Alligator mississippiensis: one gene and its partners. The protein of the gene in region 3 binds, or shares a complex with, the protein of the main gene of each other region. Links are inferred from orthologs where the notes say so. Each region holds a gene or a part of one and is shown on either strand. Other genes may lie near its edges. The genes, in order: HERPUD1, UBE2J1 and FAM8A1.

The links.
Region 1: FAM8A1 (region 3) and HERPUD1 share a complex: the UniProt entries of both Homo sapiens proteins name them as parts of the HRD1 complex. The link is inferred for Alligator mississippiensis from reciprocal best matches to the Homo sapiens genes FAM8A1 and HERPUD1.
Region 2: FAM8A1 (region 3) and UBE2J1 share a complex: the UniProt entries of both Homo sapiens proteins name them as parts of the HRD1 complex. The link is inferred for Alligator mississippiensis from reciprocal best matches to the Homo sapiens genes FAM8A1 and UBE2J1.

The regions. Positions count from the first base shown.
Region 1 is NC_081833.1:36,703,340-36,707,086, forward strand, and holds the start of HERPUD1 (homocysteine-responsive endoplasmic reticulum-resident ubiquitin-like domain member 1 protein), read left to right. Parts: upstream 1-1,120; 5' UTR 1,121-1,148; coding exon 1,149-1,280; intron 1,281-1,488; exon of another isoform or gene 1,489-1,724; coding exon of another isoform or gene 1,725-1,778; intron 1,779-1,894; coding exon 1,895-1,972; intron 1,973-2,060; coding exon 2,061-2,135; intron 2,136-3,747. UniProt on the Homo sapiens protein: Component of the endoplasmic reticulum quality control (ERQC) system also called ER-associated degradation (ERAD) involved in ubiquitin-dependent degradation of misfolded endoplasmic reticulum proteins.
Region 2 is NC_081824.1:76,994,432-76,998,178, reverse strand, and holds the start of UBE2J1 (ubiquitin-conjugating enzyme E2 J1), read left to right. Parts: upstream 1-1,036; 5' UTR 1,037-1,140; coding exon 1,141-1,171; intron 1,172-3,747. UniProt on the Homo sapiens protein: Catalyzes the covalent attachment of ubiquitin to other proteins. Functions in the selective degradation of misfolded membrane proteins from the endoplasmic reticulum (ERAD) and is essential for cells to recover from ER stress.
Region 3 is NC_081826.1:130,847,133-130,850,879, reverse strand, and holds the start of FAM8A1 (protein FAM8A1), read right to left. Parts: upstream 2,867-3,747; 5' UTR 2,852-2,866; coding exon 2,458-2,851; intron 1-2,457. UniProt on the Homo sapiens protein: Plays a role in the assembly of the HRD1 complex, a complex involved in the ubiquitin-proteasome-dependent process of ER-associated degradation (ERAD).

The DNA of each region.
Region 1 (3,747 bases), on a different chromosome or scaffold from region 3:
TCCAGTAAAAGCTCAAGATTTCTACTCCATAGCAATTGGGATACTTCTTTTTCTAAAAGGAATATCTTGCATTTACTACAGGTCCACGGAAGCTGAATAATTAGTATTTAGTGTTAAAGGCTAACTCAAGACTTATAACATTCTGTTATCACCAAACACTGTCTGTAAGAACAGATATAAAAATTAACTGTGCCTTAAACAGGAAACAGTTCTGAAATGGAATATCACCTGTTGTCTTTGATTTAACAATATAAGAGTTTCAATACAATTTCAGAAAGTGTTTCCATATTCCTAATATAAGAAAGCTTATTAATGGGTGGGGGGGGTGTCTCACACTGATGTACAGATCCGATCTGATCTGTTCTTTGGAGGGGCGATTTTTCTCAACTTGTAATATATCCAACCTGGAAGCAGTCAGAGCCTTGTTCAGCTATTTTTCAGGGTCAGAGCATATTGGAGACAGCTAATCTTTGCCTCTGAATTTTCAGGATTCCCTTTGCAACTATTTATTCGTTTTCCCATTGTCTCTTGTCTTAGCCTACCATCTTTGAACAAGGGTGGTCTCTTTATGTTCACACAATACGTATTCCAACGGGACACATATCGTGGTGCTACGGCCATACTCAATTAGATCATTAGTAGAGAAATAATTTACTTAGAACCCAATTCTTTTCTCCCAGCTATTTGACTTCTAATTGTATTACTATAGTCTTATAATTCAGTGTCACAGAGCCAGGGGCTGAGCGATCAGGCCCTTTTGTGCTTAGACCCACTGCTCCAAAGCATTTCCCTCTCAGCTGCCGGGGGCTGCGAAGCAGGAAACCCCACACTTTGCAGCCGCCCGATCCCGTGCCTGCTCCTGAGGAAACAAGCTAGGAGCGGCACGGCGCTGCCCCAGCCCGGGACACCCCGCACAGCACCCCCCGCTCCCGCCCCGCCACCTCCTGCCTCCTGACACGGGTCAGCCCCGCCCCTGTCACTCTGTAGCCGGATGTCGCTTCTGATAGGCCATCTAGTGACACGCTCTCTTTCCGCGGCCAATCAGTGGCAGCCACCGCGTCCCGGCTGGCGCAGGGGGCGGGGCGCGAGGCGGCGAGGAGATAAAAGGCGGCGCCACGGGGAGCGCGGGCGCGAGGCGGAGAGCGGCCATGGAGGAACCTGCGTCGTTGCTGGTGCGGAGCCCCGCGGGGCGGCACCCGGACCTGAGCCTGCGCGCCGAGCCCGCCGGCACCGTGCGGCAGCTCAAGGCCCGGCTGCGCCGCCTGCTTCCCGAGGCGCCGGTGAGGGAGGGAGGGGCCGGGGCCGGGGCCGGGGCCGGGCGGCCCCGGTTACTTGAAGTGCTGCAGCGGGTTTTCCTGGGGTTTGTGGAGGTTTGAGCCGGGCGTGGCGGGGCGCCGGCTCGTCCGTGTGGCCGAGGGGTGTCGGTGCTCAGCAGGGGAGGACTTTGGGCGTTGAAGCCTGTGCGTCCGTGCTGGGCTTCTGGGAAAGGGGCGGGCAGAAGACAAGGTGCGAATCCCTTTGCTGCGGCTGGGAAAGCTGCGGGCACACGGGATCCCTCTGCTCCTCAGACGGAAGAGAAAGTCCTCCTGTCAGGTTTCTGGCCCACCCGATGGACGGACAACTCATTCCTGTTTTGTAGGAGTTGCTATGTTTCTGTGCGAGTTTCTGAATCTCTGACATCAATTTTGCACATAAATAATCAGCGGGTTTGGTTGCATCATCCCATGCTAAAAACAAAAGAGAATTGTGTTCAAAGGATTTGGATGTATTTATGCTGGGTGTGTTTTTTGTTGTTTCTTTTTTGGTATGCCAGCTGCTGTCATGCCTGGCTGCTCAGCATTTGCATGCATTTGAGAGAATAGTAACCCAACATATTTTTTGTCTTCTTTCAAAGCCTGAAGAGGACCAGAAGTTGATTTATTTGGGGAAGTTGCTGCCTGATCATCTTTATCTGAGAGATGTATTGCCTATGGTATGGCAATTGCTTGCTTCTGATAGTTGCACAAATTAAATGACATAGGAATATGTTATCGTTTTAATGCCTTGATTTCTGTTTTTAGCAGGAGAAGTTGTGTGTTCTTCACCTGGTGTACAACTCTAAGAGCCATTTAGAAGTGCAAGAAACCAGTTCAATGGTATGTTAAATTAATACATCAGTCTACTTTTGCTTTTCTGGGTGTGGACACACTCTGCAAATTTGGGATTTATGACTTCAAAGCAGAATTATTTCTGAAAAAAGGTTGACCCACGTCATGTAAATGCAGGGGCAGCATTGCTTCATAGGGTAGCTGTTATGCTAGTACTAGGGGTGAGACAACAGCTACATATTTGGAGTAAGCATTTGTAATGGCTTGTTTTGGAGCTGAAACATCTTGAACCAGGTTACGGCCATTGCATGTTGTGTCCAGCCTGGTTAGTGGTCTGTCTTGACCTGGTGGTCAGGGTAATACTTGACCTACTGACGAGGAAAGACATTTAGTACCGTACAACTGTTGTAGTTCCTCTTTCCCTGGTTGAGCCAGTGAGCTTGGTCATGAGGGCTGTGCTGTTTGCAAAGGGAGCGGTTGTCTTGAATGTGTATGTTTTCCATGATAATCAAGTCTCATTCGTATAAAGAAAGAGAATCTGTCAACAATTAAATGGGGTGGCATCTTTTAGGCTCTTCCTGGATTGTTGCCCAAATATTCATCAGTAATAAAACTTAAAAAGCCTCTGGAGGAAGAAACTGGAAATAAACCAAACTTAATACACTTTTTTTTTTTTTAAGTGTGCTTAAACTATGACACAGATCTCAGTTTCTGTATGAGGGTTTGCTGGTGTGATTAACACTAGCGATTTATAATCTCAAAGGCAAAAAAATTACATCCTTGAAGTCATGAGCAAACAATAGACTGTTTTTGTTTTTGTGTCATCTGTGGCAGAAAACAACTGAAAAAGATGTGGCTTTGTATTTGATAAACATGTATTGTCCTAGCACTTCAAGGCAACTTGCATCGCCATCACCCCATGCTGGTAGCCTCTGTCTAGTATTTGAGACAGCATTTATCAAATGGCAAATTGATACACACTTTAAAAAATTGAACCTTTTAAAATTAAGACAAGCAATTATTTTTTGTTTTTAAATGTGATCGGGGAAGGCTTTGTAAAAACTGATCTTGTGATCTTTCTGCTTTTACTTACAGTTAGCATTCGTTGGCTAAATCTGTTCATCATATGCTTTAGAGGCTGTTACACTTTACATGTAGTGACCTAAACTATAGTATTATAAAGCCTTCATACTGCTGTGGCTCTGCCTGTACTAGACAGGTTATTGCTTTAATTATGCTAGTATATGTAACCACTAGCATATTGCTTTAACCAGTATAGTTAAAGCAGTAAAACTTCCAAATATATACAAGCACAAAGATTTTATACCATAATGTAACTTTGCAACATCTACTGAGAGGAGCTGTAGTTCTTCATCGCTTCCTGTTGGAACAGGACTTAAAACATGTCATGTGTTTAAAAAAAAAAATAAAAAGTTTGGTTTCCCAGAATGGTGGAACTGCTGCTATTATGAGTGCTTTTTACTCCGTTTTCTGCACTATGGCCTTAAGCTCCTACATATTTAAAGAGTTCACTTTCTCAAAACAAATGACACTATTGCCATTGTTCCATATGCAGGCCACCTCTCAAGGTGTTTTAGGAACAAAACAATTCTAGAAATATTGTTTGTTTTGATTGTGGTTCATAATTGATATGGCAGTA
Region 2 (3,747 bases), on a different chromosome or scaffold from region 3:
CAATTACAGAGGAGATGGAGATGGGCTTTTTTCTCTGGCTGTAGGGGACAGGACAGGGAACAGTGGCCTGCAGCTTCGTCAACGGAAACTCAGGCTTGTTTTTTTTTTTTTTTAAGGAAAATTTTTCATGTCCCAAGTCAAATCAGCCAAATCATTTCCAAATCTGTGAGTCATTCAAGAACCATATGTAACCCTATTACTGGCAAACATCCTCCACCCCTACCCCAGGCTTCGGATGCTTCCAAATCCTTTGGCAGCCGTCCTATGGGCAGGCCCAAGCCAAGAGGCTTGGGGTTCGGATGTCCCCGGGTTTCCCTCGCCCTCAGCCGTAGGGCCACAGGAGCAAGCTAGCGAGTTTTTTTGAAAAATATCTATTTATCTATATGAGGTTATATCTATATCTACACTCCAAGTATTACTCCACAAAGAAAACCATAACCTGTTACCAAAGCCGCACCCGCGCAGCCTGCACAAAGGCCCGCAGGACACACACACACACACACACACACGTGTATCTCCTTCAACAGGGAAAAGGTAGGCTGGAGAGAACTAGGAGGGAGTTTCGGACTACGAGGGCAGTCAGGCGCAGGGACAAGCTCCCTAAAAAGGTGGTGCAATCTGCATCCTTGGACATTTTCAAGAGCAGCTTGGACAGACCCCCGTCCGGGAGGGCTTAACCAGGAATGAACGGGACGTGAACTCCATGGCGCAGCCGGGCCTCTTCCCGCCCTGCTTTCCCTGCCGCAACCGCAGCTCCCCAGGCACGTGTTGAGGCAGGAGGCGGGAAGGACCCCCGCCGGGGCAGCAAAGGCCAGACCTACCCCGCCAGACCGCCGCGCTCCGTCCGCGGGGCCGGGGCCCTGCTAGCTCGCAAACTTTCACTCGGTTTTGGACGCAAAGCCGGGGCCAAGGCCCAGCAGCTATGCCCGAGCCAGGCCTGTCCTCGCCCCCCCGCGCCAGGGGAGGGCCGGGCTAGGCCGAGGGGCGGGCGAATCGGCGCCTCCCCCGCCCCGCCCCGCCCCGCCCACTGGCCTCAGTCACAGAGGAGCCGCCGCCGCCGCCGCCGCCGCCACGTCAGGAGGCTCAGCCGGCTTCGCCCGCCCCTTCTCTTCCCTTCCCTTCTCGCGGCGCCGCCGGGCCATGGAGACCCGCTACAACCTCAAGAGCCCGGGTAAGCGGCCTCTCACCCCCGCTACGCTAGGCTGCTTCTCCCGTCCGGCGGCGGCGGCTCCTTGGCACTCGAGGCCGCGGTTTGGCGCCGGGCGCAGGCCCTGGCCTGGACCCCCGGCCGGCTGGCCCTGTCCGCGCCTGCGCGAGGCCCGGGGCAGCTTCCAGGCAGGGCAGGGCATTGCCCCCCAGGGGCAGGAGCTGGGGGCGGCTAAGCTCACATCTGCGGGGGGGAGGGGCGGGCAGGGGAGGGACGGGACTGAGCTGCCCTGGCCTAACCCTGGAGCCCGGGGCATCCATCGGCGTCTCCCTTCAAGCCGCTGGGGCTCCGGCTGGCCAGGCCCCAGGCAGCCTCTGTCAGACTGAGGGCGCCCCACCCGCGGGGGGGTGGGAAACGTCAGCGCTTCATTCCCCTTTGGTTTTCCTTTCCCGGCTGCTCGGAGGCACGGGAGCGGTTCCCCTCCAGCTGGTGGAATCCGTGGGCAGAGGGTGTCCTCATGCCCGACCTGACATCTCTGGGTGTCTCGGCTGAGTCGCGCTCGAGTGTGTACAGCGCTAACATTGCGTGAGGGCCCCCACCTGCGGCACCCATGAAAGGCTCGAGGGTGCCTTAGGGAGGATCGCTGTTGTTGGTAAATGTGAGGTGGAATGAAGATGGGGAAACGTGGAGTGGGGGTGGGGAGAGTGCTGAATTTTTTTAGGGATGCAACCATCAGAAAACCAGGCCACCATCAATGAAGGCATAAAACGGTTGGAGAGGACAGTCGTTCTCATTAAAGGCCCTGACATGAGCCTAGCATTTGTGGCTGCTGCTAGCCATTGTGTGCGACTTTAAAAACAAGGGATTGTACGTTTGGCTGCAATGTGTAATCTGTTTGGCGACCTGCAGCTAACTCCCACTGTTCCTTGTACGTTGCCAGTCTCCTCCAATTCCTGTCTGAAGCCGCAGTGGTATTGTCAGTGCAAGTGGAGTTGGGCATGACCAATTGGTTGACATGCCTGGCCTTCCCCATGAGCAGTGACTCTTGCACAGAAGAAGAGAGCAGACCTTATGTCTGTAAACAGTGGACCTTTGTTGAGGGGTGTGCTCTCCCCCTGGCATGCAGTAAAAGGAACTATGTTATGTTGTAGACAAGAGAGAGGTAGTTGGTCATGGGAATGTGAAGTTAGGAGGCCCTGCATCTATTAAAAAAAAAAAAAAAAAGACCCACCCGTCTTAAGAGGCTGCTAGCCGGTTGGTCCAATTTGCACTTTATAGACTAAGAACACATTATAGGTGTTCCTCACTTGTGTGACCCAGGCTGCACTAGAATGCAGTCAGTTGTTTGGAGTAATTTAATTTTCAGTACTGAAATGTATGGAAATGAAAAGTCGTTTCATAATTTATTTTTATTTTTTTTTAATTTTTTACCTCAGCTTAGAATTTCCTGGCTATTTTCCGTGTTAATTTATTGACACTACATGGGCTTCTGTACATAGTTTGACTTTTGTCAAAAACATTTTGTATATAGCAACACAGTAGTTTCCTCTTATGTGTTCTTTCCCATGTACCATGCTTGCACTGAAATAGATACATTTTGTTAATTTGCTTTTTAAGTACATGTCAAAAAAGCTTATTTCACCAAATGCGTAAGCTTCAGAGTAATACATAGGAATAGTTTATAGTTATAGCAAACACATTAGACATGCCTGATCATTTGAGAAGAGTGCTGGAGGGGACCTTACAGTGTTATCTAGTACAGTCCTCTGCTCAAGGTAGGATAATCCCTGACTACGCCATCCTAGCTAATTTTCTGTCTAACCTGCTCCTGGAAAACCTCCAAGGATGGAGATTCCACAATTTCTTGACCAGTCTCTCAGTCAGGAAGTTCCTTTTAATCTCCAACCTAAATTTTTCTTGCTGAAACTTGAGGACTCTGTTCTCCTTTGAAAGAAGCCCTATCAGGTACAGACATTTGGGAGTGATTTAACCCTGGCTGTTCCCAGGTTATTTTTTTCCAGGAGTGGCCTTTTTTTATTTTTGGTGAAAAGCCTGATCATCTGTACACTTGTGGTTTCTCCTAAGAGAGCAGTGACTCTCCCAGGAGAAACTGAATGTCTGTATGAGGTATGTGGCTTTAGATAAGTTTCTCTACCATGAGAACAAACCTGGGAGTATTCTCCCACTTCCTTTCAATGTATACAGAGCTCTATTATCATCACCCTTCAGGTATTTGAAGTGTTATCAAATTCCCCTCAATTTTTTCCTCTCAAGACTAAATAACCCAACACTAGTTCTTTCAGTGTTTACTTGTAAGTCATGCCTCTCAGGCCTCTAATCATCTTCATTGATATCATATATTTTCATATAGCAACAAATACATTAGAGCTGTGACTTCTCAAAAAAAAAACTTGTAAGTAGAAGGGTCACACAGACAAAAGTACAAGATGATAACTTTTTAAAATAATCAACTTAGGAAATCAGACACACTTAAGTATATTTAGGTTTGGTTTATTGCATATGTCAACTGATGAGGCATGCAAGCACACCCATTTGTTATGGCTTGCCACGTCACTGGAAAGAATGGCATTGCACTGAAT
Region 3 (3,747 bases):
GTTACAAATCATAAAGTTCCAAAGTGAGGCTATTTATTCAGTACGAAACAAACTAAAGTATTATTGTGACTACAGTCACAATAAAATTACACTCAAATTTGATGCTACAGAGACTTACAACTAAATAAGGAGGAAGATATGCATCCCAAAGAGACAGGGAGAATTCACCTGAGACTTATCAGTGTCTCAACTTAGTCTATGGCAGTAGTTCTCAACTCAGGTGGCCCAAGGCCCCCTAAGGGGTGCCATGACAGTGTTCCAAGTACCTGCAGCACCTGCAAGCAATCCTGCCTGCATTGGGGGGCTCTCTGATCAGCCTAAAGTGGGAAGGAGAGCTGGTTTGTGCTACAGCCCTTCCCAGTCTACCCCCTGCATGCTCCTCCCAGAAACAAAGACAGGCAGGACACTTCCACTTGCCCAAAATGCCTCTGTTTCCAGGAGATGCCATGCAGAGTTGCACCAGGACACGCTGTAGCACAAGCCAGCTATCCTGTATGCTTCAGGCTGATCAGAGAGCCCTAATGCAGGTGCTGCGGCTTTCCCTGACTGCCTGTACACAGAGTATTCTTACTGCTGAGGTAGCAACTTTCAGTCTGGAGGAGCCATGCAGCATAACTGACTTCTGTATGAATCTCCATCTGTCACTGAAACATTAAAATAACTGCATAAACTCTAAACAGATACAATTAGCTCACCGTCTAAACAGGCATTGCTTAGAGACACATTAATTCAGATTTAATAAGGATTTTTTTTAATTGGTCAAAGATCACTATAGTGGCTTTCAGAAAAATAAAAGACTGCACAGCGTGTCTTTTAACTCTTCAATGTCCACCTCCCCCTTTCAACGCAGGAAGGTTTTTTCATGGTCCCTCTATGCCTCTTCTAAGCACTGTCCATACAAAACAGATTGCAATAGTTCAGTGGTTCTCAACTGGGGATGCCTCCACATTCAAAAAAGTTGTGGACAAGTGCCTCCAAAGAACTTGTGCCCAATTCTAAAACCACTAAGATTCATTCATCTATGGCGCAGACTCTATCATGGGACTGCTACTGCCTTAACTCGAGTTTTACACACCCGGTGTAGACACTAATCTGGCCCCATGGGGCCAGTCCACAGGCCAGGCAGAACCCACAGACCAGCCCCGCATTCTGGATCTGGAGTGGGTCCTGTGTGTAGCATGGCTCTGCTCCAGCAACTCCGGAGCTGTGCAGCATGGCCCTGGAGCTGAGCAGGTACGGGACTGCATGCAACGTGGCCCCAGAACCCCACAGTGCTGCGCTGCCCGCAGCACCTGCTCCAGGATATGAGCTGGAACAGGCCACCCAGTGTGCTCTGCACGCTGCCTGTCGGTCACTCCAAGCCCCATAGGCAGCACCAGGGGTCAGATGATAGCTCCACAGGCAGATCCAGCCTACAGGCTGTGTATTTGACACCCAAGGGTTCTGATAACACTTTGCTGGCAAAACTGAGTCCATGCTGGATAGCCAAAGTTATGCTGACTACAGGGTGCAATCTTCTTGTATCCCATGCCAAACAGCTACTGCACAAAGCTATTGATTTCCTACATTCACCCATCCGGACTGTACAATTAATTGTGCTACACACTCTCCTTTGAGGAGAGCTGCCTACACTGCAGTGGAAATGCTCTTCTCTCATCAGGAAAGCTGTTTTCCATCGCTATCCTCGGTGAGCAAAGAAACATTCCCATTCCACTGAAACGTATTAGCAGGCAGTCAATTCCCTAGTGTCCTTGGCATAGTGGCTTGATCTACTATTATCTGAAGATGTGCATGACTGTCCAAGAGTGATTTTACTAAACCTTGTTCATACCACATTCTGGGACAATTAACAGCATTTGTTCTTAAGTGATCTAAACTTCAGAGTACGACTTCCCTTATTCCTTTTAAACCAAGCGCATATCTGTTCAGAGCTCACAACTGGGGGGAAAAAGTAAAATCTGGAAGCAATTAGATTTCACTCATTTTCGCTGGTTTTGTCCCCTTGACCTGCCATGCAGGTCCAAAGAGAAATTACTGATCTGCAGCATGGGGGTCACTCTAGAACGGCGGGTGTTGCCTGTTCAAGACCCAAAGGAGCCCTGCAAAGATTCAGGGCCCCCTCAAAAATGCCAACTCACCATTTTTTGACTACAGAAAAGCACTAGAGCCGTTCCGGTGCTGCGCAGCAAAATGGTGCTGACACCAGGGACGCCTGGCAGAAATCTCCAGGTCCGTCTTGTGACTCACGTGCATGGCGCTAACAGCGCACGGCACCCCCGCAAGGACCTCAGGGCAGCGTGGGGCAGAGCAGACAATCCCTGCTCTGGGCCGCTCAGCTTCCTGGGGTGCGCTCTGCCCCCTGGGGCCTGCTCCAAGGGCCCCCTCATTGTGATCTACTAGGCTGGGGGCTGACAGAAGTGCGCAGGGGCGGTCCCGTCCACCCGAGGCGCGGCTCACCTGCCGGGCGGGCGCTATCGCGCGGGGCGCTGCTGGCGCGGGGCGGGGCGGCGGGGCCGGGCCGGGGCAGCGGGGTGAGGCGGGCCGGGCCAGGCGCTGGCAGCACGTAGAAGGGGCTGTAGTAGGCGGCGGCGGCAGCGGCGGCTGCGGCGGGGCCCGCGCTGCAGGGCGCGGTGCCCGCGGCGGCAGCGGCGGCGGCCATGAGGGCGGGCAGGCCGCTGTGCCAGCTCACGTAGCCGCAGTACGAGTCCCACAGCCACTGGTGCACGCGCCGCGCGTACTCCGCCGCGCTCGGGGGCGGCGGCGGGCCTGTGCCCGGGCTGCTCCCCGCGCCCCCTTCCTCCTCCACCTCAGCCCCTGCCGCGGCCATGGCCGCGGGCTCCGGCTCCGCCATGGCCCCCGTCCGCTCCCTCCACACGCCCCTCCTCCACTGCGCATGCGCAGGCCGACAACCTCGCTCCGCTTCACCCACCTGCCAGGTGGGAGGGGGTAAGAGCAGGAGCGACCAACTGAGTGAGGAGGTGCGGGGGGAGGCAACACCGCTCCAGCGCGAGAGGATATCGCCCCCCGCCCCCACGGATACGGTATCGTCCTGTCACGCCAGCCCGAGGCTGGATGGAGCACAAGCAGTGGCGGGGAGGAGCTAGGCCGCGGGGGGCGGGGCTTCCGTTGCCAGGACGATCGGTGTGGCGCAGCTCGGTTCGTGGCACGGTGACGCCCTTGCTTCAGGGCTGCTGTCATGGCAACCGGCCCGGGGTTACCAAATATGGGCGGGGGAGGGGCGGGCGGCAGCTTGCAACCCATGCTGCCTCAGGTGGCGCTCGTCTGCCCAGAGTTTGATTTGCATGTCTCCCCTGGCGGGTAATACCGTAGCAGGCCAAGGGGTAATCCCGCAGTGCCATACTTGGAGTAATCCTGTTGTACCACAAGGCCATGCTCAGTGGTAATGGCTTCATTACCCACAGGCTTCCTGCCTGAGGAGGGGTTGGGAGTCCACCCTTGGGGATCTTTCCAAACACCCTGCAGGTGGCCTTGGAGAGCCCCAGTGGCTGCGTCACTACATGGAGGTTTTGATTCTCCAGCCAAATTTGCAAATATGTGAAGCTGGCAGGGGCACGCTGAAGGCCACTCACTTGCCCTGGGGGATGGAGCGCTGCTGGGCAGATGCTCACAGACCCTCCGGGTGTGCTGTGATCCACTTGAGGCTCAGGCACTGAGGGGTCCTGACGCTCTTCTCTGGAGCCTCCGCTGCTTCCAAGGAGCTGTAGCCGGTGGGTGAGGTCTGCTAGG